6 linked regions of the Oryctolagus cuniculus genome follow. The protein of the gene in region 1 purifies or fractionates together with the protein of each later gene. This does not show direct contact. Links are inferred from orthologs where the notes say so. Each region holds a gene or a part of one and is shown in the gene's direction. Other genes may lie near its edges.

Region 1 (5,058 bases):
CCAGGCTTCTGGCTTCAGCATGGTACAGGCCTAGTTGTGGCTGACAATTTGGAAAGTGAATCAGCAGATGGGAGATCTGTTTCTCTCTTGTCTTCCAAATAAACAATAAAAATGATTTCTAGAAAGATGCCTTGGGTACCATCCAGACCTATGATAGCAGGATCTTTGAGGCAGGGCCCAGGAAGCTGCATTTTAGTGAGCACCCAGATATTTTATTCTTAAGCATGTAGCAGTTTGAGAGTCACTCCTAGTTGCCTTGATAGTGTCAAAACTTGGTATTCATTTGTATGTCCACTAAGGAAATAAGAGGCCCTCCCAAAGAGGAGGGTGTGTTCCTTGTTGAAGAAACTGCATAGGTGTGGGAGGCAGAATGTAGTTACACTGGCTCAACGTGGAAGAAAAGTGAAGCCTCAAAAACCCTCACATGATTTATAAGAACCCCAATCCTTCTTTCATGGTCTACTTCCAGCTGTCCTTTCCTTATTTCTTGTTAAATATCTGCACAGCTACCATGAACTCAGGTAGCCTGGAATGCCATCTGCCTCCTCCCTGGACAGCTGGGTCTCACACATGACCATTAAGACACAACACAAATGTTACTCCTCTGGGAATCTCTCCCTGATATCCAAGCCATAGTGTATCATTTTACCATTTGTACTCGCATTCAATTTCTGTCATTTTCTCGTGTATTTCGAATATAATGCGAATGTCCCTAAGTCCTGCAGACTGTGGGTACAGCCCTGCAGTTTTGTTAATAATAATACATGAATTCATTATTGTGGTAAGTTTTTTTTTTTTTTTTTTTTTCTGCCATGTTGCTCCAGGGCTGTCTTACTGAATTCAAGAAATAAGTCCACACTTTCTGGAGCTGCTGCCAGTTGAGCCACCAAGTTTTCCCATCTCTCCTTCTCCATTAGAAGTGAAAAGCCAACAACAAAATCCTTTCAGACAGATCCTTCGAGGGCTGCAGGCCTCCGGTTGAGTGCCATCTCTCCAGGAACTCTATTATGGAGTTGGCTGGCACAATCCCCTCTCTTCCGACATGGATAAGCTTTGCCATGTGCGCTCTGCAGGGCCCAGGCTTTCAGCTCCAGAGGTGTTAAATGGCTTGGGAACATAATTTTAAAGGTGACAATTGGATACACACCACAATAAGCATCAAGGGATGAAAGCGCAACCAGAGCTCGAGCCGGGCCCGCTGACACCGCTGGCACCGAACCTGGCTGGAAGTTTCCTGGCAGTCGTGGTGAAAAGGGAACACCTGTTAGCGGATGCCCTTGTTCTCATTCAAGCCAGGGCTGCCAGACGCCTTCTACAATATCCCGGATGTACTTGCTTCTTCCCGATCGGCAGGATCCCACACCTGGCGAATCTGGGCGCCTGCCACCCCGAGGGCTTCCTCAGCCACGACCCCTGTGCGGCTCTGGGGAGGGGCGCCCGCTCTCACTCCCGCAGGGCGCGGGAACCCGGAGCTCCAGGCGCCGTGACGGCCTCCGGGCGTCCGGACACCACTCGGGCTGAGGGGGCCGCCCCCTTTCCCTCTGCCCTCAGGAAAGGAGTGGTCCTCGTAGGGGGCTGGGCACGCGAAGGTGGGGGACCCGAGCCGCTGCCGCTCCCAGGCCGGCCGGGATCCGCTCGTCAGATGGCCGGCGCAGCCCTCCCTGGGGCTCCCAGAGCGGGCTTTCCTGATCCGCGGTTCCCCGGGTCCCCTGCCCAGGCCTCCGGAGCCGCAGGGCGGGGCTCCAAGTGCGGGCGGGACTTAGGCGCGGTGGGAGTGGCCTCACGAGGAGGGCGTGGCCTCACGAGGAGGGCGTGCCTCGCCAGGCCTGGCGGGAGGGGCGGGGCGGGGCTTCAGCGGGGCGGGGCGGGGCCTCGCGAGGCCAGGCGGGCGGGGTCTGGGAGCCTCGGGACGGCTGCAGCCGCGGCTTCCGAGCCGAGGAGAGGGGAGGGGACGGTACGGGAGGAGACGGGGCCACCGGCCGCGCGGAGGGAGTGAGTCACCTGACCGCTGCCCGCGCCACCCGCCTGCCTCGCTCGCTGCCGTCAGACGGGCCGCGCCGCGCTCCGGCTCTGGTGAGTGGCTTGGCCGGCCTGCTCGCCCTGCCCCGGGAGGGTCGCGGCCTGGGCCTGTGAGGGGAGGCGCCGAGGGGGCCTCCGGCGGCTGTTTTCTGGTGGTGGTGGTGGGTCGCGGGGCCGGGAGCGGCTGCGGCCCCGTTCCTGGAAGTGGCCGCGTCCACCGGAAGGGGCGTCCGTGGGTGCCCGTGGCTCTTGAGGCGGCCAGCGCTGTTGTTTACCGGCGCGCGCTGCACTTTACCCCCGGGCGGGCGCTCGCGCGCGCCGCGGGGTCCCGGGCGCCTGCCGCCCCTCCCCGGCCCCTCGGTCCCCGGGTCGGAGCCCACCCGGCGCCCCAGCCCGCGGCCCGCCCTGGCTGTGACACATCAGCACCGCCCTCACGGCCCGGGCCCCGTCCTGCCCTCTGCCCACTCCCAGCGCCTCCGCAGCGTCCCCCGCGCCGGGCGGCGTTTCGCCCTCCCAGCTGGGTGTGGGTCGCGCGGGTCATCGCGTCGGAAAGGCCGAACGGTGGCCAGAGCGGGAAGATCACCTGGTCTAACCTGCGTCTGGGGAAATTGGTTTTGGGGATTGGAGGTCTCAGGGCTCCCATTGTTGGCGTTTTGCCCGCTCGTCGTAATGGGGACTCTCACAACATGGTGAGAGTGGGTGTTGATTGTAGAGACACCGGCTTTGTGCTCCTGTAATGCATCACGAACGCCGTGGCTTTCTCTCTCTCTCCAGGCAGGCTCATGTCATTGAATAGAATTGTGCGGCATGCGTTTGTACCATGAGCCCTCTTTCTGCGTTCAACTTGGGCGGATTCAAGGTAAAGTGTAGTAGTAATTGTGGAGGAGCCTGTGTGGGAAAATCAAGCTACCATGTCGTCTTTGGAGGAACAAAGACTTTGTAGGATGCTGATAGTTTGGAGAATTTATATCTGTGTTGGAACTGTTACCCATGGAGGATGCCACTACTAGGTCTTTGTTCGTCTAGTGGACGCTTATTACATTCCACAGGGTTTGCATTTGAGGCTGTTTGGAAAGATCAAGGGTGGAAATTCTAGGGAGGCAGAGCATTTGAACGTGTCACATGGCCGAGCAAAGAAATGGGAAGAGCTGTCAGCTTGCTTCTTCCTGGTCTCAGGGTAGTGGTGCAAGGGCTGGGCTGGGCTGGGCTGGGCTGGGCTGGGCTGGGCTGGGTTTGGTTTGAAGGCACTTGTCACTTCTGCCATTGGACATCTTAAGGAAACCTAGGAAAAAAGGCTGCTGTGAGTCATCTTGGAGTAGGGTGGCTTTGGGGTAGTGCCTGCATCTTGTTTTGTTGTTGTTTAACATAAGGTTCTGTCAAGCGGTTTACCTTTGTTCAGTATGTTGGTTGGATAATGAGGTAGGATGACTCTTTAAAAAAGTTGTGTTGCTGAGTCATTCACCCGAGCCAGAGAGGTAATTAGGAACAGCTGGTGCAGATAGGCTCATCACATGCCTCCACTATAAAAGGCCAAGGAGCACTGAGAGGGATTGCTTCAGAAGGCTGAAGGGGACTCAGTGGTTGTCTGTTCTGATACATGTAATTAGCTGGGGAAGTGCAGGAGCACTCTTAGGAAGTGGCCAGGTAGCACTGAGGTGTTTAGACCAAGAACAGCTGCGAGATCTGACTGAGAATGAATTTGTACTGGAGAAAGAGCTAAAACTGGGGCAGAAATTTGCAGGCAGTAAATATTTGCAGGCAATAAATATTTGATACAATAAACAATACTGTACTTAGTTTTTTATTTCCTCTTGTTGTATGGTCTTTAACATTTCAAAACATGAACTTAATTGGTTCTTCATGAAAGTTTCTTTATGCTAACACAAAAGGGAGTTTTCCTCTTGTTTTTCATGACTCTTGGCTTTTCATGAATACAGGAGTAGTTTTTTGGTATCAGGAGGGTAATGTGAATGTGGGTGGATTTAACATGTCTGGTACAGTCAAGGCTAGACAGTTGTCTAATGAAAGTCAGATCATACTTATGTGTCTCATTCTCTTGAAAGATAGTACTAGTGTCTTTACATTGCGTGTCATTGTTTCTTGCTTAAAAGTAACCACATAACCCAAGCATAACTTTCCTCAGTGTGGACAAAGTTTAGGAATGGGAAATATGGAGGTGAGGGTTTGGTTCTTAACCTCATGTCAAAAGAATGATGAGTTCTTATAGTAGGTAGTTTTCATTTAAAACATTTTGTATTAGAAAAAATTAATTTTGTTTAAATTTGGGACTAGAGAAGATTATAAATGAATTTTTAGGGTCTCTAATGAAGAGTGCAAGGTGGTAAAATTAAGAAGAAGCTATTAAAACTTTGCTTTTTAAAACTTTTCTATAAAATAAGGAAGACATGAAAGATACAGATTAACAGTACTTGAGTATTACATAGTGAAGGTACATCCCCTCTACCCTTTTCTGCTCATACTTGTTATCCATTGCCAATAACATTTTTTAACAGCTGTACTTTTTTAAAAAACTTCTGATTTCTTCTTAAGGGCAATTTTTATCAATGTAATTCTGTTACTTTTATATTGTGCTTTAAAATTAGAAGCTTGAGTGTAATTTTTTTTGACACATGAAGGTTTTTTAATTTAGCAGTCAGCGTAGCTATTAATTTGCCTTCAAATTACATTTTCTTTTTTTTAATTTTTAATTAGTTTTTAAGAGATTCAGCGTGCTTTGTAGATAGAATTGTAAAAACAGTTCCCTCTTGAGTGTGAATTTATTACATTCTTGAAGTTAGTGATGGAAATAGAAAAAAAAACAGTTATATTTGGTAAATGGAATTATCGATTTGGAGACAAACTTAATGATTTGTTTGATCTGTGTATGTGATCTGAAGTGTAGTGATGTGTAAAAAGATTAATGAGAACACTTGATAATGTATACATTGGAGTGCAGTGTTTATAGAACAAATCTTTTAAGAGTTAACCATGTTCTGTGATTATTTATTTGAAAGGCAGAGTTAGAGAGAGGCAGACAGG
Region 2 (4,698 bases), on another chromosome or scaffold:
TGTCATTTAAGATTAAACCCACTTCTGCTTATTTTAGGAGTTTACTTTGTTCTCCCTTATAGTCATGACAGTGACTTGCTTTCCTGCAATAACATTTTGTTCTGTATTTTCAGTGCACATTTAACTTTCAATTAAGGTTTTATGATTTTTATTAGATTATACATAAATTTTCTCCACCTTCATTGAACTATAATTGGTAAGTTTAATGGACATAAATTTCTTTTTTTAATAAATGATTTAAGCCGGCGCCGCGGCTCACTAGGCTAATCCTCCGCCTTACGGCACTGGCACACCGGGTTCTAGTCCTGGTCGGGGCACCGGATTCTGTCCCGGTTGCCCCTCTTCCAGGCCAGCTCTCTGCTGTGGCCAGGGAGTGCAGTGGAGGATGGCCCAAGTGCTTGAGCCCTGAACCCCATGGGAGACCAGGAGAAGCACCTGGCTCCTGCCATCGGATCAGTGCGGTGCGCCGGCCACGGCGGCCATTGGAGGGTGAACCAACGGCAAAGGAAGACCTTTCTCTCTTTCTCTCTCTCTCACTGTCCACTCTGCCTGTCAAAAAAAAAAAAAGATTAATAAATGATTTAAAAGACAGTTATAGAGAGGTAGAGATGAGAGAGAGAAGTCATCTTTCTGCTGGTTCCGTCCCCAAATGGCTGCAATGCTGGAACTGAGCCAATCTGAAACTAGGAGTAAGGAGCTTCTTCCAAGTCTCCCACGTGGGTGCAGGGACCCAAGGACTTGGGCTATCATCTGCTGCTTCCCCAGGTGCATTAGTAGGGAGCTGTAAAATGAAAAATAGTATATTTAAGATTTTCTTAGAGAAGCTGTAGAGAGCCCTGAGAAAATGTATGTATCTTCCATTTTAGGTTTTTAAAATTCTCTTTAGATTTTTTATGGATTATATGAAACTAATAAGATTTAACAGTTTAGGATTTTTGTTTAACAGTTCTGGTCTTAACTTTATAATCTCTTCTAGCTACAGCTGGATGCATTTGAAGCAGAGAAACAGGCATTGTTGAGTGAACATGGTGCAGCTCAGGAACAGCTAAATAAATTAAGAGATTCATACGCTACATTATTGGGTCATCAGAATCTGAAGCAAAAAATCAAGCATGTTGTGAAACTGAAAGATGAAAATAGCCAACTAAAATCGGTTTGTAAAGTAGTATTTATTTTTTGAAAGATACTGGGATGGGGATTTTATTAATTTAACTATTTATAAAACTTATTAAAATGAACATCTTTTATATCAGAAAAAAGTAGTTTATGGAGGAAAGTTGATCCTAGAGTTAATGGTTTTATTTTAGAGCATCAATCAGACTAGTATTCAGTGTTCTCAGCTTTTTAACTACCTCTTTAGTATGTTGAAATTACAAAAGTAATGGGAAGAATTCATAAAGCTTTATATATCCATTTCTGTTAGCAAAATAGCAAGCTTCTTGATGTAATCACAATTAAGACAACCGGTATTAAAAAATACTTAGGTATTTAAATTTTCTGACAAATTTGTGAGATTAATTCACATCCTATACAATTTACTCCTTTAAAATATATAATTCTATGGTTTTTATTATAGTCATATAAGTGAAATAATCATCATAGTCAATTTAGAGTATTTTTATCACCTTAAAATGAAATTCTGTACCTTTTACCTTTTATTCTCCTAACTCCTCATTCTACCCAACCCTTCAGCCCTAGGCAGCCAGTTATCTTTATCAAATTTCCTATTGTAGACATTTTTATATTCATGGACTCAAATAATAGTCTTTTGTGATTGCTTTGGTTCAGTTAATATGATGTTTCAGAGCTCATCCATGTTGTTGCGTGTATCCATGCTTCATTCCTTTTTATGGCCAAACAATAATTCATTGTGTAAATATTTAGCATTTTATTTATCTGTCAATTGTTGGACATTCAAATTGTGTTCATGTTTTGTCCTGAATAATGCTACTATAAACATTCATGTGCAAGTTTTTGTATGGGCATATTTTTTTATTTCTGTGGGGTATATAACTGGGCCTGAAATTGCAAGGTCATATGGTAACTAGTTTTAATCAATTCGAAAACTGTCAAACTGGGTATAAGGTTTCCAGTTTTCCATGTACTCACTAACATTTGATATTACTTGACCTTTTTATTCCAGCTGTCCTTCTGGATATAAAGCTCTATTTCATTGTAGTTTTTCACTTGAATTTCCCTGATGGAAATGATGTTGATTATTAGCCATTTGTGTATTTTCCTGGGAGGAATGCCTATTCAGATTCTTTGCCCATTTTGAAAAATTGTATTCTTTGATCTTTTCACTGTTGAATTGCGAGAGTTTTTTATACATTCTGGATATACATGTCTTATGTGCAAATATTTTCTGCCATTCTGTGCACTGTCTTTTTACTTTATTAATGTTATCCTTTGAAGCACAACATTTTGTTGAATTCCAATGTATCTTTGTTTTTCTTTTGCTACTTTGGTATCTAAAAATCCTTTGCCAAATCAAAGATCATGAACACTTACTCATAATTTGTTTAATAGCCTGTAGTTTTAGATCTTACATTTAGGTTATTGATCCATTTTGAGAAAGTAGCTTTGTACTTACAGAGATACAAAAAGATTTAAGATCTTAAAGCTTATGTGTTATAGTCATTTTTGCCATTAGGTGTGATACATAAACAACTTTGGAGTTTACCTTGCAATAATGATAACACAGTTCACCAACTTTAATATTCTTTGTTTAATTTCTCTTATAGGAGGTAACAAAACTGCGCTCTCAGCTTGCTAAAAGAAAACAAAATGAGAGAAAACTTCAGGAGGAATTGAATAAAGTTCTGGGTATCAGACACTTTGATCCTTCAAAGGCTTTTCATCATGAAAGTAAAGAAAATTTTGCCATGAAAACTCCATTAAAAGAAGGTAAGAAATGAATAAATGCATAAAAGTCTCATCTTCCTTTAGATTTCCTTTCATGGCATTTAGCAGCTTCTTCATTTATTAACTTTGAAAATTTGTTGACAGCTTTTGATATAAAAGAAATTCTTACTGAAATTGTTTTGTACAATAACTTTTTTCTCCTCTGTATTATTTTTCTCTGTATCTAAATGCTACCTGTCCTTCAGGCCCAAATTACATCTTCTTTAAAGGCTTGCAGGACTTTTTTGCTACCCACATTCCCTCAAATTATTCTCTCTGTAATAACTAATTATTTATTGTATATCTGCTACATCCTTCATTTTCTAAAATTTGTGTTTTTGGAAAAGTAGATTTACTCTTTCCTCATGTTGGATCTTTGTTTATTTCACAACAAATAAAAACTGGTTGAAATAGTGATAAAGGAATATATTCACAAGTAATGCTGCAGAATGTAAGCCTTGCTTCATCTGCCTTAGAGAAGACAGGAGGCCTGTTCTTAGTTTATAATGATTGAGGAGTTAGTTTTCATTTAAAATACTGATAATTTTTTCTAATATCCTTCCAGGCAATACAAACTGCTGCTGAGCTCCTATGGAGAATCAAGAAATCATGCAACATCTGAAAAACCTGTTGAAGATTACTTTATTTTGATTGTTGATGATGATATTGTTGTTACTATTATATTTTAATGGGTTTTTTAAAATGCTTTATTTGTATTTCATTTAATTGCCAGGGCCGGCACTGTGGTGTAGTGAGTAAAGCCAACACCTGCAGTGCCGGCATCCCGTATGGGTGTCAGTTCCCATATGGATGCCAGTCCCGGCTGCTCCACTACCGTTCCAACTCTGCTATGGCCTTGGAAAGCAGTGGAAGAAGGCCCAAGTCCTTGGGACGCTGCAACCACGTAAGAGACCTAGAGGAAGCTCCTGGCTCCTGGCTTCGGATCGATGCAGCTCTGGCCATTGTGGCCATTTGGGGAGTGAACCAGCAGATGGGATATATCTCTCTCTGAGTCTGCCTCTATGTAACTCTTCCTTTTAAATAAATAAATCAGTCTTTTAAAAAAATTTTTAATTGCCTATCCTTAGTATGTGAAAAAAATTCAATTTTTTAACCAATATGTCTTCTATATTTTTCCTATTATAAATACTGCCCTCTTAATGCTAATCTTTATCATCTTATTGTAGCCGTATATCTGACTTTCTAGCTTACATTACTTCCCACAAAATCAGTATTCCTTTGAAAATCATCTTCATTATTCCCCTTGACAGTAGCCTTAGTTTCAAGATTATGATTCCATCTCACATTTTTTTAGCTTGATTCTGGAAGTCTTTTTTTTTTTTAAATTGATTTATTTATTTGAAAGGCAGAGTTACAGAGAGGCTTACATCTGCTGGTTCACTCCCCAAATGGCCTTAGTGGCCAGAGCTGGGCTCAATCCAAAGTCAGGAACCAAGAGTTTATTCCAAGTTTCTCACACAAGTTCAGGGACCTGAGGACTTAGGCCATAGCAGAGAGCTGGGTCAGAAGTGGGGCATCTGGGACTCGATCTGGCACCCGTATGGGATGCCAGCATTGCAGGTGGCGGCTTTACCAAACAGCCCCAGTATATGGAACCTCTTTAGAGAATTTGTCATGTACCATTTGTCATCTGCTTGTCTACTGAGTGTGTAGCATGACAAAAAATTATGTCATTTACCCAATTATCCAATTTGAATTTTATAGTTACATTAATGTCTCTATTTAAGATGTATTAATTTAGTGTCTACCCTCCATACTCCACTTAACCCAGAA
Region 3 (4,827 bases), on another chromosome or scaffold:
GCAGGGCCCACCCTTTCCCGCGGTGTCTGCGCGGTTGGGGGGCGGGCTCAGACGCCTGGTCCAATACCAGCCAGGGGAACGGTGCAGGGAGCCTCCCCTGGGAGAGAGAGAGAGAGATTTCTCAGCTGCTGGTTCCCTGCCCCCGGGCTCCCACTGGGATGTCAGGGACATCGGCCGCCTCCCGGGCTGGGTGCAGTAGCCGGGAGCTCCCTCCGGGCCTGGGCTGGAACCTGAGGAGGTCCAGGTGGCAGCGCCACAACCCCCACCCCAACGTCCCCCTCTGACCCCCACTTAGGGACTGGGAGATGCTCAGAGGTGGCGGCTGACTCACCCCAGGCCACACAGAAGCCGGATCCACTCCCTGGCTCTCCGGGCCAAGGGGTCTCAGGACCACCCCTCTCCAAGCGCAAACCTGGGCCTCTCGCTGGCTTCCAGGTGAGGGACAAAAGCAGGCAGAGCGGCCCCGGCCCCTCCCAAACCCCGGCAAGACCCCGGGCTGCGGCTGCTTCCTGGCAAACGGAGAGCAGGGCACGAGGCCAGGCCGGACACCTGCCCGCCTGAGAGGAGGCACCTGCCGTGGCCTGGGGAGCAGGCAATGGCGCAGGGGCAGTGAGGGCGTCCGGTCAGCTCCCCCATGTCTGCAGCGGCCAGGGCTGACCGGAGCGGGGGCCGGTATCGGAACCCGGCGACCCCACACCCAGGCTCAGGAGGCCTCACTCCCTCCTGCTCTCGTCCAGCTGCCCGTGCAGCCCGCAGAGACCGGCCTGCCAGACCCGGGGCACTCAAGCACCAGTGTGCCCATGGGAAGCATGGCGGCCTGGTCACCTCCGGCACGCAGGGGTGTTCCACTCGGTCCCCTCTCCACCAGCCCTGGCCCCCCTCACCGGGGGGAGCTGGTTCTCAGAGCGGGCAGGCCCCCTGGCCATGGCAGCTGCTGAAGCCCCCGGCCCAGGGCCACCCCCACCTGCGGATTGCTGTACTCACGGGATCTGGGGACCAGGGCCACCCCGACCTCACCTGGTGCCTACCTCGCGAGGGCCTACATGGGGTCTGTGCCCCCAGCTGCCCCCTCCGCCTAGGGCCGCGTCCATGGAGGAAAGCTGGTCCTCCCGACCCTGTGCTGCGGCCCGCGGGGGGTCGTCCGGCCTCTATACCTGTGCTGTGGAGTGGCAGCTGTGACCCTGCGCTCGCCCCAGCGCACCTGGGACCCAGCAGGGACCCCCTGCAGCGAACAGGTGGGCGGCGGGGGCTCCCCGCAGGTGTGACCTGAGGCACAGACCGCACGCGGGGCATGCGGAATATGGGGTGCGGGACGCCATCGTCGTTCAGGGTCTCCCCCCGCACCCCGACTCTGCAGAGGAAGGAGCGCAGGTGCCCCGCTCAGGTGCGCGCCACAGGAGCAGCCGGGGGCGGGGCCGAGGAGGGGGCGGGGCCGGGAGGGAAGGTCGCTTTCTGGGGGTGTGGCCGTCCGGGGGCGGGGCCTGCGGGCCGGGGCGGGGCCGGCGAGGGCGGGGCCTGGAGACGCGAGCGTGGGAGGAAAGGGTCGCGGTCTGGGGGCGGGGCCGTGATGGGACTCGTCGTCCGCGCACCACGGGGCGGGGCCGGCGAGGGGGCGGGGCCGGCCGGGGGCGGGGCCTGCGGGTGGGGCGGGGCCGCGGCGTGACGCGCGCCGACGCGATCCCGGAAGCGGTGTCAGATGCTGGGAGCCGGCGGCGCGCGGGCGGCGGGCGCGGGGGGGGAACTTGTTGTTCTTCGCGAAGTCGGAGCCCGAGCGCGAGGCGGCGGCGGCCGAGGGGGAGCACGGGAGTGAGCGCGAGCGCGAAGAGAGCGCGTGCCCGCGAGGAGCCGCCGCGCGCCCGCCCGCGCGAGCCAGGTGAGCGCGGCGGGCGCGGGGCGCGGGGCCCGTGGGGGGCGGGGGGCGCTCGGAGCCACGCGGCCGCGGAGTCACGGCTGCCGGGGCCCGCGCGCCCGCCCGGGCCCGGCGCTGAGAGCCGGGGGCGCGGACCCAGGCCCGGCCGGGGCCCTAGCACCTGCGGGGCGGGACGGCGGCGCGCGGGGCCGCCACGTGCGGGTGCGGGGCCGCGACCGCGTGGTCCGGGGGCGGCAGGTGTCTGCCGTCGCGGAGCGGGGCCAGGCGCGCCTCGCCCTCGCCACGTGCCCCGGCAGACTCGGACCCGAGCTCCGGCAAGTGTCTGGCCCCGACAGGACACGGTAAGTCCTGGTCAGGTGCGGCGGCGCCCGGGAGCTCTTACATAGGTGTCGGCCCGGCCGGTGGGTGGGGTCTGGGGGCCGCGCAGGTGGGCGGGACGCACCTGCGGGGCACGGCTCGGGGGAGGACCTCCTGGTGGGAATGCCCGAGGGGGCCTGCCCCGAGGACCCGGCCCGCAGTAGAACGGTCAGTAAGGCAGTCCCGGGGGCCAGGATCCCAGGGAGCGGCCCCGGTGAGGCCGCGGGCGCCCGGGACGGCGGGAGTCGGTTTACAGCCTGGGGCGAAGCTGTCGCCGCGGACCCAGAAGAAGCCGTGCCTGTTGGCGGCCCGGCGGCTCCGGGTCTAAAGGTTCCTGGAGTGGACTTTCTGGGTTCCGGGTGCAGTCCGCACGGGAAGTGGCGATCGGGCCAGCTGGGAGCGCTCTCCCGGGCAGTAAACAGTGACTCACGCGCTCCGCCCGCCTGGATGGGAGGCGCCGCTCCCGCACGCACGCACGGGGGGCTGCGAGCCGGCCTCCGTTTCCTCTTTCTGAGCTGCAGGAAGCGGGAAGTTATCTGACAGTGCAGGGCAGGTGGGGGTGGGGGTGGGGGTGGGGGTGGGGGTGGGGCGCCACCCCGGGCCGCGGGGTCCCCTCGCCCCCTGCCAGGCTCGCCCGCCTGTTCTCGCCGCCGGCTCAGCTCCGTGGGGTCTTGGGGGAGAGCAGGTGCCTCCCACGAGGAAGGTAGTGGGGAGAACCTTCTGGAAGAAGCAGCGTTGGGGGAGGGCTGGTGCCCGGTGCACCTGGGAGCTGTCAGGAGGGACCCACCCACGTGCAGCTCAGGGCTGGGGCTGAGCGGGGCAGCTGCCCCTTGGGGGCGAGGTCACGGAGTCTGGGTCAGCACACAGACAGGGGAGAGCCCGGGGTCAGGCTGAGGGCGAGGCTGTGCGGTGCAGCGGGTGCCCTGGGGTGGGGTGCCCTTACGCGAGCTGCACACAGGTGAGGGAGGCGGGCCGGGGCTGTGTGTGCTTTCCCAGGGCGCGTCCCCGGCTGACCACGGAGCTTGGGGCCTTGCTGAAGCGCCTGGGTGGCCAGCAGAGGGCCGGCTCCGTGAGCGGGGCTGTGTCAGCCTCATCCCCACGCACCTCTGCATGTAGCAGCTTCCTCAGCCCAGATCAAGGCGACTGGACATCCTACAGGTCCGGGGCTGCCGGCTGGGGGCACTGCGGGCACCTGCCCGCCGAGGGGCCGTGTCCCGGCCAGGCTGGGGTGCTGGGGGGGTACAGTGGGCACCTCCCACCTGCCCACAGAGGGGCCGTGTCCCGGCCAGGCTGGGGTGCTGGGGGAGTACGGTGGGCACCTCCCACCTGCCCACAGAGGGGCCGTGTCCCGGCCAGGCTGGGGTGCTGGGGGGGTACAGTGGGCACCTCCCACCCACCCACAGAGGGGCCATGTCCAGGGCCGTGCTGGGGGGCACCATGGACACATCCCACCTGCTCATAGAGGGGCCGTGGCCAGGGCCAGGCTGGGGGGCACCATGGACACATCCCACCTGCCCACAGAGGGGCCATGTCCAGGGCCAGGCTGGGGGGCACCATGGACACATCCCACCTGCCCACAGAGGGGCCGTGGCCAGGGCCAGGCTGGGAGACACCATGGACACATCCCACCTGCCCACAGAGGGGCCGTGGCCAGGGCCAGGCTGGGTGCTGGGGGGCACCGTGGACACATCCCACCCGCAGAGGGCCATGCTGGGGGGCACCGTGGACACATCCCGCCCGCAGAGGGCCGTGTCCAGGGCAGGGGCAGCGGGTGTCTCTGCGGTGGGGCCTCGTCTTCAGTGGGGTGCGAGTCAGCGTGTCTGTGGCCCCAGCTGCGGCTGCGATTGGCTGACGTGTTTACTTGACAAGTGTGTGTGGCCCCAGCTTCCGCGCCGGGGCGGCCACATCCTCCGTGTGTGGATTTGCATCTGTCACGGTTGCTGCCTGGGTCTTGACTGCCGCTCCCGGTCCCGCCTCCTCGCCCCCCACTGGACGCCCGCGGGCAGGACGGGGCAGGTGGGACCGGGCGTGGGTCGCAGCCCCGGACCAGAGCCAGAGCTTCGGCAGCAGGCAGGAGAGGGCGTAGCCGGTCACTGACGAGGGAGGCTTGGAGCCCTGTGCGGCTCGGGGACTCCGGGGGCCTGAGTGCTGGCCTCTGCGGAGCGGGTCCCTGCCCCCAGGAGCCCCCGGCCGCATCACTGTCCCTGCACTTGCCCGGCCTCTCTGCCGCGGCCCCGGGCGGGCGCCGGCACATCCTTTGAGAGGAAGCCACTCTTCCCGCGGCGCTGGGGCTGGATGGCTCACGAGAGTTTCTGGCTGTGGGTTTAAAACCCACGCAGGAGTCGCCCGACAGGTGTTGTGAGTCTGCGGTGCCGGTGCCGGACAGGCTCCTGGCGGGCGTCGCCCATCCCCGAGGTCCTCACGCACGTGGCGGCTGGGGTGGGACCCGGCCTGGCCTTGGTGCTGGCATCCCGGTGGCTTTTCTGAGATTTTGAGGCGCTCGGGTGCCGGGGTGGGGGTGGCGCTGCCGAGGGGTGCCTTGGCTGGCTGCCTGGGCCGGGGGGGCAGGTCCGTCTGGGCCTGGGCCCCCTGCAGCCCTC
Region 4 (4,949 bases), on another chromosome or scaffold:
CACATACGCACACACGCATGCACACACGCACGCACACACGCTGCCATGTGTCTGGGGAACACGCACACAGGATGTATGCCCATTCATTCAGCTGATGTTAGCCTGAGATCCTGGGAGCAGGCGGAGAGCCTGGCCTGTATGGGCTGGAGCGGGGGGCAGCCGGGCAGCGGTGTGGGTCTGTGTCAGTCCTCCTGACAGCTCCCGAGGAGGACAGGGCGTGGAGGTGGAGGCGGCTGTGGTCCTGGGCCATCCGAAAGGAGAAGTGGTCTCTGGCTGTGCAAGCGCAGAAGGGGCTAGGAGTTTGTGTTGTCACGCCCCCGCCTCCAGGAATCCTGCACTGATTTCCTTACCCTCCTCCCAGGCCTTCCTCCGCTGGTGGTCTTGGTGCTCCGAGGATACCACTAGCTTGGAGGCCATTACTGTGGGAACGGGACCTCAGGCTGAGGGGCGGTCGGCATGCCGGGGAGGGGAGGCCGGGATGTGAGTGGGGGGCAGAGCCCGGGCTGGAGCCACCCGCCGTCACTTCCCTGCTGTGCTTGGTTCCCCCTGCCCTGCTCCCCTTCCAGCAGGGAGGAGTGCCCCCAGCGCCAGCTGCCAAGACCCAGGAAAACACATTTTTTCCCTGTGTCCTCACAGCGCGCAAGCGGAATGGCTCGGCAGCCAGGAGGAGCCGTGCCAGTGGGTGGGCCGTCTCCAGGCTGTCTCTGGGGTGGGCCTGGGGGCCGGGGACGGGGCTGCGCGCGAGAGCCGCTGGCTGCTGATTGGGCGAGGCCTCTGTCAGTCCCCAAGAGAAAGCTCACTCCCCAGGCCTCCAAAGAAGGTTAGGAACCTGCAGACCCTGGGAGGGGTTCTGCCGGCCTCCGAGGGAAGAGAAGAGGCCAGGAAGGGAGGCCCTGAGAGAGCGCTGGCCGGGGTGGGAGCAGGCCCCGGGGCGCCAGTCCCCCACTGCCACCCGCAGCCACCCGGCCGAGGCCGGCTCTGCTGCTGTGCAAGCCCCAGGCCGGCAGGGCCGGAAGCCCCAGGCTCCAGGGCTCCCAGCACAGCGCGGCAGCCTGTGGGACTTTCCCTCTGTGACTTTCCCTCCGTGACATCCCCTGGGCACGGGGGCCTGCGGGAGCCGACGGGCTGGAGGGGAGTGCGGAGGACTTCCTGGGGTCCGTGTCCCAGCCAGCCCCAGCAGCGAGAGGGGCAGGCAGGGCTGTGTTGAGAAGGACTCAGAGGCTCTGTGTCACTTCCTGGGAGTACGTGTGGGCTTGATGAGCCATGAGTGGGCAGGGGCGGGGGAGAGGGGTGTGGTGGGCGAGCCAGCCACTCGCGGCTCCTGAGCGTGTGGCCCCTGCCAGTGTCTCCGCGCTGTGCCTATCATCAGGGATCACCCCATCATCAGGGGTCCCCTCGCGGCCGGCCCCTCTGTGCAGCCGGATGCGGGTGTCCTGGCAGGCCCCGCCCAAAGCCTGGCCCCTCGAAGCCCGGCAGTGGGCACCAGGGTGGCCTCCGTCCTGAACCTCACATGAACCCCGTCCTGAACTCCACCCCGTGCTGGCTGTGTGGCCCAGGGGGCTGCCAGGCATCAAGTCACAGTCGTCAGAGGAGCCGGCACTCAGTCCAGGCCTCACAGGTGCCCACGGGACTTCAGGCAAGCGATGGCCTCTCTGGGTCTCCGCCGCCCCCTGGGGGAGTGAGGAGGTGGGGCCTAGGGCTGTAAGGGCCGTCCCTGGGCTGGCCCCGGGCAGCTGGGAGCTGCTGAGGCAGAGCGCTGCCAGGGCTGGCTGTGGCCCCGGCTCCGGCAGCTCGGATTCTCGCTTTCCTGCCCTCCCGGGCGCTGGCTGACCGCCACTGCATGCACCCCTCCGCTCCACCAGAACCTGCCAGGCAGGTACCGCGCAGAGGAGAGTGGACACCCGGAGAGGTGGAGTCTCGGCCAAGGTCAGGTGGCCTGGAGAAGACGGACAGGGCGTGCCCCCACTCAGTGCTCTTTCCGTCTCCCACTCCCCACCTTGCTCCCTTGCCGTGCCCCGCCCCCCGCCCCACCCGTGTGCCGTCTCTACCCCTCGGAAGGGACACAGATGGGAAGGAGGAGGAACTGGGGGCTGGCCTGAGGTTTTCTCGCAGACTGTGTCTGGCCAGGCCTGGACGCTGACCAGCTGGGTGACGGTGTCAGTGACTCCGCCCAGCCAGCCATCCTGGTTCAGCCCCTGGAGCTCCCTGCCTGGTGGAGAGACAAGGAAACAGCCCATGGCTGTGTGGTGGGGAGAGGGGGGTGGAGGTGGGGGGTGGTGCCTAACAAGGCCTAAAGGTCAGGGAGGGCTTCCTGGAGGAGGAGGAGGAGGAGGGCACAAGGATGAAGAGGAGCCTGCCCGACAGAGGAGGGGGGGGGGAGTGCCCGGGTGGGGTCAGAGGAAGACATCCACATGGCTGGGGTGCACAGTTGAGGCTGTGCACTAGCCTGGGGATGGGCCGGCCTCTGGCCTCAGGACAGTGGGAGCCACAGCAGGTTCTAGTCTGGTGGTGGCACAGGAGGGTTCACAGGGCAGGAAGCTCCCTGGGGCACTATGTGGCAGGGCCGTGTGTGGCTCTGACGGGCAGGGTGGCGGAGGGCGGGGTCTGGACATGTCAGTGACTGGTCAGGGCAGTGTGGGGTCCATATGATTGGGCCAGGCAGGAGGGATAGTGAGGGGGCAGGCATGGAGGCCTCCAGAGACAGCTTGCTGGGCAAGCCAGGCCCGAGCCCACAGGGACTGGAGGGGCTAGGCAGGGAAACTGAGGCCCGGGCCCAGGCGGAGCCCACTTGTTCAGCAGTGAGGGCTACAGCTCAGAGCTCCACCAGGAAGCAGGCCTTCCCCACCGGGGAGCCGCACAGGACACCACGGCTGCTGAGCGCTGGCCTGGGACCCTGGGCCTCGCCCCTCCTGGCCACCACACGGGAAGTCCCTAGAGCCCGCTGGCCTGAGATCCCTGTGGGTGCCAGCTTCCCGCCCCTGAACCGCTCCTCCTTTCCCTGGAGCTGCTGGACCCCCTGGCCGTGTGGGCGGGGAGGGGCTGGCAGGCCCCTGCCCCAAGCCCCGGGAGGCAGCTGTGGGCCACAGGACCTCCATTCCACAGACGCAACACGCAGGAGGATCGGTCATCAGCGACGCCCACGGTGCTCTAGAGAAACCCGAGGCTGGGGAGGGAGACAGGCTGTGTGTGTGCACGCGCCGTGGGCACCAGTGGCTGGGAACATGGGATCTGAAGCAAGCTCCGTGGCTGTCCCGGGAGCAGGCATGCCGGGCGGAGGGAGCTCCCTGGTCCCTTGGAGGAGCAGCCAGTGCTGGGGCGCACCGCTGCGGCCGTGGAGACCACTGGGATGGGCGCCGTGGAGGCTGCTGGGAGAGGACAGCTGCCCTGATGGACGTGCCGCCCTGGGTCACACGCGGGGCGGCACGTGGTGCAGAGAGCTCTGCGGGCCGCCCTCCACAAGCCCCGGCGTGTGCGGGCCAGGGCCTGTTGCTCTTGCATTCCTCCAGGGTCCCCAGCACACATGCGGGTCCTGCCGGCCGTGTCAGGGAGCCAGGGCCTGTCCCCGGCCCTTCACGCCCTGCCTCCAGCTCCTGGGGTCTTGTAATGACAGCGTCTAGGACGCCGGGCTTCCAGTCACCAGGCAGCTTCCTGGTGTTCTCCCACTCCTCACGGGGGTTGGCCCAGGAGCGCGCTCGGGTCACACCGCAGGAGGCCTGGTCACCAGGCAGGGACAGGGTAGCTGCTTTCAAGGGGCCTTGGGAGGCCTTGCCTGTCCCAGAGCAGTGACCGCTGACCCCGGCAGGTGCCGTCCTCGAGTGTTTATAAACCTCTGCGCCCCCAGTGCCAGGTGCACGCCTGGGCAAACAGCTGCTGCCACACCTGGGGCCCCGCTGCCTGGGGCCCTGCTGGGCCACGCCCCCTGTGCTTGGGGAGGGCTGGGGACTGGCCCCGCGCTGTGTCCATGGGGTGCTGGGGACATTGTGAAGTCCTTGGCTATACGTGTGTTATGTGTACTTCTCTGTATGTAGGTTATACTTGAAGGAAAACTTTTTTTTTTAATTTATTTATTTGAAAGAGTCACACAGAGAGCCAAGGAAAGGCAGAGAGGCAGAGAGGCAGAGAGGGAGAGAGGGAGAGAGGGAGAGAGGTCTTCCATCTGCTGGTTCACTCCCCAGTTGACTGCAACAGCGGAGCTGTGCCGATCTGAAGCCAGGAGCCAGGAGCTTCCTCCAGGTCTCCCACGCGGGTGCAGGGGCCCAAGGACTTGGGCCATCTTCCACTGCTTTCCCAGGCCATAGCAGAGAGCTGGATCGGAAGTGGAGCAGCCGGGACTTGAACCTGCGCCCATGTGGGATGCTGGCACTGCAGGTGACAGCTTTACCGGCTACGCCACAGCGCTGGCCCCGGAGAACTTGCAGAAATCAAGTCAGATCACAGCTGGGCCGGGGCAGGAGTGCCCACTTGTGAGCTGTGGGTTTGTGGGGCGCCTGCTCTGCACTGCCCCGGAGTCAGGCGTATCGACGTGTGGTGAGACAGGCAAAGCCTCTGCCCTCCTAGGAAAACGGATGGAGAGAGACGAACCACAAAACCACTCAGTGCACAGGTGCAGCGAGTGACACAGGGGCGCTTCAGCCCCGCGGCCAGGGAAGACCTCCCCGAGGAGGCGACCCTGGGCTCGGGCCTGAGTGGTAGAGGGTCCCTCTGAGGAGGCCGGGGGACAGCATGTGGCTGGGCCAGTGTGCAGAGGAAGGGGCTGGGCGTGCGCTCCAACACAGCAGGGGCTCCGAATGCTAAGGGAGGAGTTGGATTTTACTCTAAGTGGGGAGCAAAAAACAACTGGTGGCCTCCTTTCTCCCCTAGGTCTCCAGCCCCGAGGGCACCGGCTGCCAACATGTCTGTGGATCCCTTATCCAGCAAAGCCCTGAAGGTGAGGAGGTGGCCCGGCCGGG
Region 5 (4,936 bases), on another chromosome or scaffold:
TCCAGCTCCCACCTAATGCACCTGGGAAAGCAGCGAGTAATGGCCAAGTGCCCCTGCCGCCACGTGGGAGACCCAGACGAAGTCCCGGGATCCTGGCTTCGGCCTGGCCCAGCGCTGGCCGTGTGGCTGTCTGGGGAGTGAACCAGCAGATGGAAGACCTCTCTCCCTCTCTGCCTGTCAGACAGCTTTCAACAACAGCAATTCAGCCTCATCTGCCGTGGCCCAAACGCTGCTGCCCCCGTATTTCAGGGACAAGTGTCCAGGACCCTGTGTGGGGAGTCTGCCAGGGGGTTCTGGGACAGATGAGAGGACGTGCGTGGCTGGGCCCCCTGGGCCCTGGAGCTGCACCGGAGTCAGGTCCCGGCTGCCTGGGCCATTCCAGTGACAGGACACGAGCCCCCCACCCAGCACCGCACAGGACAGCTGGACCCCTGCACCCGAAGAGCTGCCCCCTCACAGGACAGAGCGTGGGCACCTGCCCCTCTCTTGTCTGCTCTCAGAACTGACCCCAGGGCCCAGGGCTTCTCTCTCTATAGGAAGCAGTCCCAGTACCTACGGCCCCCACTGGCCTCGCCCGTGGCCCCGGGTGGCCACACCCATGCCTGCCTGTTGCGGCTGCTGAGTGGGGGTGGGTGTGTGGGGGTGGGGAGTGGACGGACGTCCATCAGCAAAACTGAGTGGGAGATGAGATGAGTTTCCCAGGCATCTCCCACGCACTGGACGGCGGCAGGGGAGGGCGAGCTGCCTGGGTGGTCAGCAGTGATGGCCCCCGGCCCCAGGACCAGGCGTCCTGGTCCAGCGTCTCCCAGCACAGAGGAGCGAGGGCACACCCGGCTCTCCGTCACGACTAGCCCCCTGCCCTCGACCTCGGGCCTCAGACCAGCGGCCACGGAGCTCCGATTCCCACCGCGAACCCGGCTCAGGGCTGCCCCGCCCCCCGGAGCCTGGACCCAGCGTCCAGGAGGGGTGAGGAGCAAGCTCTGAGACCAGGGACGCACTCGTGGGGTGAGTCGCTGCGTTTTCTACGGAAAAACCCGAGGCTTTACAAGTCGCGCCGTCCCGCGTGGACACCCCACCCCGCCAGGAACCCCGCGCAGCCCCGCACAGCAGCTCCAGGTCCTCCTGTGGGCCCCTCCGCGGCGCCCTCACCTCCTCACCTGCCTGGCTGTGCACCTGAGCAGGGAACAGGGCCGAGAGCGCGCCCCCACCCCGCCGCGCGGCGACTTCCTGGGGGAACGATCGGCGGCGGGGGCGGACGCGGACCCGGGGGCCGGCTTCAGACAGGTGCCGGCGGCCCGGGGGACGGCCCGCGCCGTCCACTCCTGGCGGGCGCACCGCGGGGCCGGGACCTGGGCCCTGCACCCCCGGGGTCGGTCTGCACCCGGACCTCGGACTAGGGCCTCCCGCGCGCTCGCACCGCGCCGCGGCGGGGGCGTGGTCCGGCCAGGGCGCGCGCCCGGACAGTCCCGCGAGCCCCCGACGCGGCCCGGGCGCGGCGCGCGTTGCCAGGGGCGACGGCGCCCGGGCTGCGCAGGCGCAGGGCGACGCGCCCCGCCGCCGCCGCCGCCGCCGCCGCGCCTTCCCCTTTAAGCTCCGGCCGGCCGCGTCGCCGCTTCATGAATGGAGCCCACGTGACCAAACATCATGTGACGTCTGTGGAGCGGCGGCGGCGGCGGCGGCGGCGGATCCCGAGCCTGGTCCGGCCCGGCCTTCGCAGAGCGCTCGGCCCGGCGCGCGAGGCGGCGAGACCCCCCCCGAGCCACGGGCCCGGACCCCCGGCGCCCGCCCCAGCTCCGCGCGGCCTCGGAGCGCGCGCGGCTCCGCCCCGGCCCCGGCCTCGGCCCGCCGGGCCCGCAGTGTGGTGAGTGTGGCGGGCCGGGCGGCGGGGGCGGCGGCGGGGCCCGCGCCGGGGCGGGGCCGTGGCCTGGGCGCGCCGCGCGCCCTCCGGCGGGCCGGGCCTCGCCTTCCCCTGCCGTCGGGAGCCGGGCTGCGGCCCCGGCCGCGGGTGCCCGGGCGCACCGCCGGCGGCGCGGCGGCGCGGCGGCGCGGGCGGGGCGTGCGCGGAGCCCGCTCGGCGGAGGCCGGGACGTCCCGGGGCGAGGCGCGGCGGCGGCCGGGGGGAGGGCGGGGCCGGGCGCGGCCGGGGGCGCGGGGGCGCGGGGGCGCGGCCGCCGGCTCCTCAGGTGTGTGGCGGCCGCTGGCGGCGCGCGGGGCCCCGGCGGCCGGGCGGGGGCGGCGGGAAGACCCTGCCCGCGGGCCCGGGCTCGGCTCGCGTGCCAGCGCCGCGACCTGCTGAGTCATCAGCATGAGGTCACTCGGAGCTGCTGCTGGCGCGGGGACTGGGCGCGGGGCCTCGGGACTGGAGGGGCCGGCCCGTGGCGGGGGAGGCACACGTGAGGATGAGCGCGAGGCCGGCGTGGCCAGGCGGAGGCCGAGGCCGCGTTGCGGGCTTCCTGCGGGGCAGAAGTCGAGCCCCTGGCGAGATCGGCCCTGGGCCCACGTTCGGGGCAGTCCCCCAAACTGATAAACAGCTGGGGGTGACGGGAGGGGAGGGGTCTGGTGGGCCGAGCTGGCGGCTGGAAGCCCCTGGATGGGCAGCCCCTGGCGTCAGAAGAAAGAGGAGTGAGCGTGGGGCCGCAGGGGCGGCGGCGGGCAGGGAGCAGGCAGCAGGACTTCGCAGGGCAGCCAGCGCGCTGTCGCGGCCGGGTCCGCTGGCCCTGGGCTGGGGCGAGGCTGCACGCGACAGGAGCTCAGGATGCGTCCTTTGGGGTGCAGCAGGTGGGTTAGTGTGGACGCACAGGCGGGAGAATCGGGTCCCAGACACCCAGGGGTTGTCCCCGGCGAGGAGGGGTCCCAGCATGGAGTGTGCTGAGCCAGTGTGGTGTCTCCGCTGTCTGGACCGGCGGCTAAGAGGCCAAAGGGTGGTGTGGCCGCGGTGGGGGCTGGGGGCCAGGGAGGTGGACAGAGCTCACCTTCCCACTGCTTCCCTTGCCCTGGGTTCGTGGCCGTCGCGTGGTCGCACCCAGACACCGCGCAGCTTCCTCGGGGCTTCTCCGGCACGGGTGCTCTGGCGTGAATGGAGCCGCAGGACTCGGGTCGGGGTCGCAGAGCGTCGGGCGGCCTGCCTGGGACTTGTGGCCGCTGGGGTGTGCCGGGCAAGGGTGCCCAGGGGAGCTGGTCCTGGAGGAAGGGCCGGAGCTGCCCTTTCCTCTCCTAGCTCTCAGCTGAGTGGGTGGCCCAGGGTCCCCCGTGGGTCAGGCAGCAGGGGACAGCGGCTCTAGCTCTGAGCAGCCCTCAGGACGGAGAGGATGGGCTGGGGGGGCTTCCACTCAGTGCAGCCTCCGGGACCCCCCCTCTGGCTGGGACAGGTGCCCCGAGCCAGCCTTCTCCGCCATCCCCAGGGGCCGCCTCTGCCCGGAAGGCTGGAAGCGCCGGCTTTGCCGAGGCCCTCCCCCACGGCGTGGGTGCCTGCACACGCACACGCACACGCACACGCACACGCGTGCACACCTTTGATCGGAAGGCGCCTGGCTGCACTGTGCTGAGCTCAGGCCTTCTGCAGAGGGCGGAATCTGTTGAGGAGGCACTTTTCCCAGCCCAGCGCCGCGCTCGGCACTTTTCTGTGTGGTCCCCTCAGGAAGCCACCGCTGTCATTGTGCGGTCGTGGGGGGAGGGACACCCCCGTGCCCAGGCAGCAGTGAGGGCCCGTCTCCTGGTGGGCCGGGGCCGGCTTGCGGGCCTCCTGACCTCCAGCTGTGGGCACCCCATCCCCATCCTTCTTGGGGTCCCGCCTCCTGGCTCGGCCCCACCCTGCCTCCTGGCTGCAGCCTGCCTCCTGGCCAGGCCTGGCTCCTGTGGGGTCTCCACCCTGGGAACATGGGCCGCCTGGCCAGCCACACTGTGGTTCCCCGGGTGGGTGAGCCGGCCAGGAGACTGTGGCCTTTCTCCCCGTCCACCTGTTTACCTGCCTGCATCTAACCTGCAGAGCAGTGGGAGGGGCGGGCTCCGGGAGGGGTTCCTGGGGTGGGAGCTTCAGGTTCCTGGCAGGGGTTCAGAGAGCGGACAGTGCAGGGTGGTGCTCGAGGGGCAGCTGGCGGGGGAGCGGTCTGGGCACTGGGCTGTGGGTGCAGGCCCAGGCAGGGGACCACAGAGCAGTCAGTGACTGCCACCTGCCTGTCAGTGAGCAGGCCCCGGGGCCCTTGTGAAACACCCTGGCCAGGGTGGGGCAGGGGCGCAGGAAGCTGCAACCCAAAGCCACACGGTGGTTACTCCACGGGCCGGGAGGCGGCCAGAGCGGGCTGGAGGGGCCCTCGGGCCAGGCTCTCAGTCGGGTTGCCTGCTGCTTCCAAGGTGTGGGGCTCCCCAGCTCTTCCCGCCATGGGAGCCGGGGCCAGCTAGATGACTCGCTCCCAGCTGGAGGGCCCCGGGAAACTGGGAGACCCCTCACCCTGCTGTCTGCCCCAGTTCCCGGTGGGGACAGCAGGGGCTTTGTCCCGGGCTGGCGCAGGGGAGGCCGCTGTGGGAGGTAGGACCTTAGGATGCACAGGCAGGCGCCCCCACCTGCTATGGCCCCCCAGCCCCCCTGGCCCCAGCAGCGGGGCTCCTGGGCGGCTGTTGGCTGGCGGCCTCGGGAGTGCCGGCGGCGAGGGCGGGCGGCCGCGATGTGCTGAGTCAGCGTGACTGGCCAGGAACAGCCGTGCTCCGGGGCAGCGCTGGGGTTATTTTTAAAGCTCCCGGCTTCCTCCTGGACTTGCCCCTCCTGCGTCTCGGTGCTCCTCAACTCCCTCTGCCCCTTTGTCTTGCCCCCTGGTTCCCTGGGAGCGGAGAGGCGGCCGGGAGTGGGCAGGGCCTGGGCCCCTGGGGAGCTGGGCGGAGCGGGTCCTGACCGCTGCCCCCTGCCTTGCAGAGTGCCTGCTCGCTGTGCCCCCGGGTTATG
Region 6 (4,739 bases), on another chromosome or scaffold:
CGCCCTGTTGTAGCCTTCTGGACACAGGGTGCCAGGGCAGGGACACATGGAAGGCCCTACACTTAGGCTTGCAGGGTCTCCCAGGCAGGAATGGGCAGAGAGAGCTGTCACAGCAGGGGCAGGCTGGCATGGTTTCAGAAGTGTACCGGCTGCTACGTGATCATGGAAGCCCCTCGGATTTAGGAAGCGCTTACAGCCCTGTGTGCACGAGCTCACTGACACACAGACCAGGCCCGCAAGCTGCTGGGTTTGGCACTTGGAGCTCCTGGTGACCCTGGCAGATGTTTTGGTGGGACAGGGGGTGTTCGCCTCAGTGGAGGGGTTCATGAAAGGCCCGGGGCAAACCTGGAGACCGGCAAGTGTGCACACCCGGCTGAGGTTTTATGCCAAAGTGGCAGAGAAGTGGGGAGGTAGCTCTCAAGGCAGGTCTCAAGAGGAGTGTTGTAAGGTGAAACTGCTGCAGCCTGCTTGCGCGCTGATAGGAAGGAGTGAGGAGATAGACGATTGATTGATTGATTGATTGGACCACATTTAGCCGTGGAGGGGCTGGAAGCTCCCGCTGGGGTGGAGGGGGTGGAGCTTGGAAGGCTCAGGCACAGTCCACCCATGGAGACCCGAGGCGGTCAGACTGTGGGCAGGGAAGAGACAGGGAGACCTTGGATGTGGCCTTCTGACTGCGGCTGCTTCCTCAGTGTTAGGAAAAGCAAGGCTCCGAGAGCAAGGCGAGAAGACAGCCGGAGAGGGAAAGATGGGCGGCCGGGCAACCTTGGGGCTACTGGAAATCGTGACTCGGATGCACTGTGGTTCTGGAGCCTGGAATGGCTGCTTTGGGGCAGGTGGAAAGCACGCGGAAATTAGTTAACAGGCAAAGAACATTGGCGTTAGCCGCCAGAGGGTGTCGTCGAGGAAGTAATGACCACGACGGACCGGTATTAAAAAAAAAAAAAATAGGTGAACACTTAAACGCAAGGGATACAGTCGTTTGGCCACACTCGGCTCAGTGTCCGGGGAGCAGGCTCCGGGCCTCTCCTCCCCACCCGGGGCTTGCGGGGCCGCGCGGAAGGGCGGCCGCCAGGAGGCGCGCTGGGATGGCCGAGGACCCAGCTCCCGGGCCTCACTGCCCGCGCCGCCACCCGAGGTTGTAAGGCTGCTCAAGGCCGGCCGCTGTCCCCGCCTAACCGCAGAGCTTGGAGTCCCAGCAGGCCCGGCTATGTCCAGCCAGCGCCGCGGAGCCCGGTTTAAAAACCACTCAGCAGTCCTCGCAGCGACTCCAAGGGGCTGGCGAAACCCACAGCCAATCCGGTGCTGAAGCCCTGGGGCAGCCAATGGCACGCCGCGGGGCGGGACCGTGACGGCGAGCGCCCCGCCCCGCCCCACCATTGGAGTAATTCAGCCAATGAGAGAGCCGGGGCGGGGCACCGCGGCCAATGGCGCGGGCCGGTTTGATTCAAAGGTGCTTATAAAGCGAGCCCATAGCCAGGCTCTAGTCCGAGCGTGGTCCGTGGGAACGGTGCGATGGCTCTGCGGTGCGAGGTCCTGGACGAGCTGCCCGCGGCCTGCCTGTCGCCGTGCGGGCCGCCCAACCCCGCCGAGCTGTTCAGTGAGGCGCGGCGCCTGGCGCTCGAGGAACTGGTGGCGGGCGGCCCCGACGCCTTCTCGGCCTTCCTGCGACGCGAGCGCCTGGGCCGCTTCCTGAACGCCGACGAGGTGCGCGACATCCTGGGCGCCGCCGAGCGGCCCGGCGAGGAGGCCGCGGCGGCCGAGGACTCGTTCGGCTCGTCGCACGACTGCTCGTCGGGCACCTACTTCCCCGAGCAGTCGGACCTGGAGCCGCCGCTGCTGGAGCTCGGCTGGCCCGCCTTCTACCAGGGCGCCTACCGCGGCGCCACGCGCGTCGAGGCGCACTTCCAGCCCCGCGGCGCGGGCGACCGCGGCCCCTACGGCTGCAAGGACGCGCTGCGCCAGCAGCTCCGGTCGGCGCGAGAGGTGAGCGGCCCCGTCCGGGTCGGACGGGAGACCCTCGTCGAGGCCTGCCGGGAGCGCGGGCGGAGCCCTCTGACCCCTGGTGCTTCCCGGGTCCTCTGCTCTCCGCACGCTGCGTGTCTCCCCTCGGGTCTGGGATCCCCCCTCTGTCACTCCCTGTGACTTGTGCCGGGGTTCCAACTCCCAATACTCAGTGTCCCCTGGGAGCGGGACCAGAAATCATCTCAATTCCAGGCGTCAGTTAAAAGCGAAACATTATCAGCGTTCCCAGCGGTCAGCCGACACTAGGTCCCATCCCCGTGACCGAAGACGGTCCATCCCTAGGGGAAAGTTCCTGAGAGGTGGCCGCCAGAGGCAACTTATGTTGTGGGAAGCAGACGATGCGAAAGTGGCACAGAGAGGAGAGGGGGAGGTTGCCCCTTCTGGATGAGTGGGGAACGGGTTGCTTTTCCGTGGGCTGGAGCGGTTCCCGTTAGCATGACCCCCGATGGGCCCGTCTGAGCGCGGTGGGTTTTGGCCCTGCTGCCTGACACTGGCAGGGTAGCCAGGTGCTGCGGCAGATCTCGGCGGCCTGCAGGCCAGGATGATGCCCCCGCCGGGCGCTGGGGGTCAGGGAGGGAAAATGCAGTGAGCAAGTGGGTGTGGCAGTGGACGCCTCGGTCCAGAGCCCCTCAGTTTGCTTGCTGGCCCGCAGATGCCCAGCTACTGGCTGAGCTGGAGGCCTGGTGGGTAAAGCTGTAGGCCATGATAAGGCCTGGTACCAGGGTGTGTCTGTGGGTGAAGAGATCAGCATCAAGTCAGGTGGAGGTAGCCACGGCCCAGAACAAGCCCCGATTCTCACCAGTGTTCCTGGTGGTGGCTGACCCGCGGGGTTGGCCATAGTGACCTGGTGTCTTACTTGGAGGGGAGTGGGTGGGGGCTGCAGCGAGGCTGGGGTCGGCTCTTTGACACTGTGGGTGGCCTGAGGGTCCTTTGCTTTGGATGCTGCAGACGTTTTCATTGTGGGTTCAGTAAAAAGGTGTTTTTTTGTTTTGTTTTGTTTTGGTTTGGTTTTTTTTTTAAAGACAGGATTCTGGGGCAGGTGTGCAATCCCGAAGCTCACCTCCAGGAGGAGGCCTTGAGCACTTGGAAGTTGAGACTAGTTACCAATGGACGTCCTTATGAATAGATTGCTTGCCTTTTGCCTTTTGCCCAGCCCCAGATTTTAGTTGTAGTGAAGGGGCAGTGGAGCCAGAGGGAACCAGTGTCTTAAACTCACATGCTGGCCTCCGGAGGGGCTGGAGCCCGGACCTCCGCTTCCTGTGTCCATCTGTGGTGCTTTCCTCTGTTCTGTGCCCACCCCAGCTGCCTACCCTGCTCTCTCTCCAGCATGCTGCCCGTGGATGCTGCGTGTTGCCCCAGGGAGAAGTGGCTCATTCTTTACTTTCAGTGCACTGTGTGTGTGTGTGTGTGTGTGTGTGTTGGTGTTTGCCCTGTGCCAAAGTACTTGGCTTTTCAGTGCCTGCTGTGTGTCGGACGCCGCTGGGGCATGGGCCACAGCGGGAGGCATCAGCCCGCGTGCGCTAGGGAGTGGACAGTGTGCAGGTGGGCAGCAGGGAGGAGGTGGCTCCAGGCAGCGGGGGAGGGCCTGAAAGGTCTCAGGAGTGGAAACCCTGGAGCTGGGTGCAGGAGGAGGGGTGGGAGCAGAGGACCTGGTGCCTGTGGGAGCGGTGGGATTCCCAGGCATGGAGCGGAGAGTGGGTGAGGGCAGGGTTAGTGGGGGGGGGGCTGGAGCTAGACTGTGGAGGGTGAGGGGTGTGTGTAGGAGGGTGGATTGGATGGGGGTGAGGCTGCTGTCCAGGACAGCTGGAGGCAACCGCGGGAGTCCTGCATGAGAGGAGGGGCTGCACTGAGGCCTTGTGGGCAGGCAGAGTTTTGGGTGGAATTGGCCGGACTTGGCTGTGAAAGAGTGGGAGCGGGCCGGAGAGCAGGCAGGGCTGGGAGAGGAAGGCCCAGGAAGGGTAGAGGAGGACTGGGGTGGTTCCCACTGGTATGTGGAAGGAGAGCGACCCAGGGGAGTGACGCTGAGAAGATGAGCTGGATGGGGAGGGGGACATCTTGTTTGTTAAAATAAGTGACAACACGGGCCGGCGCCGCGGCTCACTAGGCTAATCCTCCGCCTTGCGGCGCCGGCACACCGGGTTCTAGTCCCGGTTGGGGTGCCGGATTCTGTCCCGGTTGCCCCTCTTCCAGGCCAGCTCTCTGCTGTGGCCAGGGAGTGCAGCGGAGGATGGCCCAGGTGCTTGGGCCCTGCACCCCATGGGAGACCAGGAAAAGCACCTGGCTCCTGGCTCCTGCCATCGGATCAGCGCGGTGCGCCGGCCGCAGCGCGCCGGCCGCGGCGGCCATTGGAAGGTGAACCAACGGCAAAGGAAGACCTTTCTCTCTGTCTCTCTCTCTCACTGTCCACTCTGCCTGTCAAAAAAAAAAAAAAAAAAAGTGACAACTGCTTTCTGTCTGCCACACGCCGTGCTAAGTCACCGAGACAGGCGCAATGAATCTGCATCTTACAGACGATGGCACCAAGGCTTAGAGAAGTTAGGTTGCCAAGGCTGTGCAGCAGGGAATGCTGGATCCGGAACCTCCGTGGAGGCAGGGTCTCTCACCCACCTTGTGCCCCGTGCTCCAGGAGCTCCTCCTGGGGTGGAGAGGGTGATAGAGGCTTCCGCTGGCGGCTGCTCAGGCGGCGCCACACTCTGTAAAGGCGTGCGTAATGT

What was found.
Region 2: the proteins of BACH1 (region 1) and HMMR purify together in Homo sapiens (affinity purification with mass spectrometry; 6 studies listed by BioGRID and IntAct, counting the BioPlex papers as one, with this or other methods). This does not show direct contact. The link is inferred for Oryctolagus cuniculus from reciprocal best matches to the Homo sapiens genes BACH1 and HMMR.
Region 3: the proteins of BACH1 (region 1) and MAFK purify together in Homo sapiens (affinity purification with mass spectrometry; 6 studies listed by BioGRID and IntAct, counting the BioPlex papers as one, with this or other methods). This does not show direct contact. The link is inferred for Oryctolagus cuniculus from reciprocal best matches to the Homo sapiens genes BACH1 and MAFK.
Region 4: the proteins of BACH1 (region 1) and MAFF purify together in Homo sapiens (affinity purification with mass spectrometry; 3 studies listed by BioGRID and IntAct, counting the BioPlex papers as one, with this or other methods). This does not show direct contact. The link is inferred for Oryctolagus cuniculus from reciprocal best matches to the Homo sapiens genes BACH1 and MAFF.
Region 5: the proteins of BACH1 (region 1) and MAFG purify together in Homo sapiens (affinity purification with mass spectrometry; 5 studies listed by BioGRID and IntAct, counting the BioPlex papers as one, with this or other methods). This does not show direct contact. The link is inferred for Oryctolagus cuniculus from reciprocal best matches to the Homo sapiens genes BACH1 and MAFG.
Region 6: the proteins of BACH1 (region 1) and FAM83D purify together in Homo sapiens (co-immunoprecipitation; 3 studies listed by BioGRID and IntAct, counting the BioPlex papers as one, with this or other methods). This does not show direct contact. The link is inferred for Oryctolagus cuniculus from reciprocal best matches to the Homo sapiens genes BACH1 and FAM83D.

Annotation. Positions count from the first base shown.
Region 1 is NC_091435.1:16,285,711-16,290,768, reverse strand, and holds the start of BACH1 (transcription regulator protein BACH1), read left to right. Parts: upstream 1-1,861; 5' UTR 1,862-2,073; intron 2,074-2,150; exon of another isoform or gene 2,151-2,708; intron 2,709-2,793; 5' UTR 2,794-2,878; intron 2,879-5,058. UniProt on the Homo sapiens protein: Transcriptional regulator that acts as a repressor or activator, depending on the context. Binds to NF-E2 DNA binding sites. Plays important roles in coordinating transcription activation and repression by MAFK.
Region 2 is NC_091437.1:50,243,679-50,248,376, forward strand, and holds the end of HMMR (hyaluronan mediated motility receptor), read left to right. Parts: intron 1-976; coding exon 977-1,153; intron 1,154-2,744; coding exon 2,745-2,907; intron 2,908-3,469; coding exon 3,470-3,489; 3' UTR 3,490-3,605; downstream 3,606-4,698. UniProt on the Homo sapiens protein: Receptor for hyaluronic acid (HA). Involved in cell motility. When hyaluronan binds to HMMR, the phosphorylation of a number of proteins, including PTK2/FAK1 occurs.
Region 3 is NC_091450.1:36,677,533-36,682,359, forward strand, and holds the start of MAFK (transcription factor MafK), read left to right. Parts: upstream 1-1,677; 5' UTR 1,678-1,873; intron 1,874-2,057; exon of another isoform or gene 2,058-2,395; intron 2,396-4,827. UniProt on the Homo sapiens protein: Since they lack a putative transactivation domain, the small Mafs behave as transcriptional repressors when they dimerize among themselves.
Region 4 is NC_091442.1:114,968,576-114,973,524, forward strand, and holds the start of MAFF (transcription factor MafF), read left to right. Parts: upstream 1-1,673; 5' UTR 1,674-1,840; coding exon 1,841-1,926; intron 1,927-4,860; coding exon 4,861-4,927; intron 4,928-4,949. UniProt on the Homo sapiens protein: Since they lack a putative transactivation domain, the small Mafs behave as transcriptional repressors when they dimerize among themselves.
Region 5 is NC_091448.1:998,214-1,003,149, forward strand, and holds the start of MAFG (transcription factor MafG), read left to right. Parts: upstream 1-1,663; 5' UTR 1,664-1,861; intron 1,862-1,938; exon of another isoform or gene 1,939-2,183; intron 2,184-2,313; exon of another isoform or gene 2,314-2,778; intron 2,779-4,702; exon of another isoform or gene 4,703-4,769; intron 4,770-4,906; 5' UTR 4,907-4,933; coding exon 4,934-4,936. UniProt on the Homo sapiens protein: Since they lack a putative transactivation domain, the small Mafs behave as transcriptional repressors when they dimerize among themselves.
Region 6 is NC_091442.1:19,931,051-19,935,789, reverse strand, and holds the start of FAM83D (protein FAM83D), read left to right. Parts: upstream 1-1,476; 5' UTR 1,477-1,515; coding exon 1,516-1,986; intron 1,987-4,739.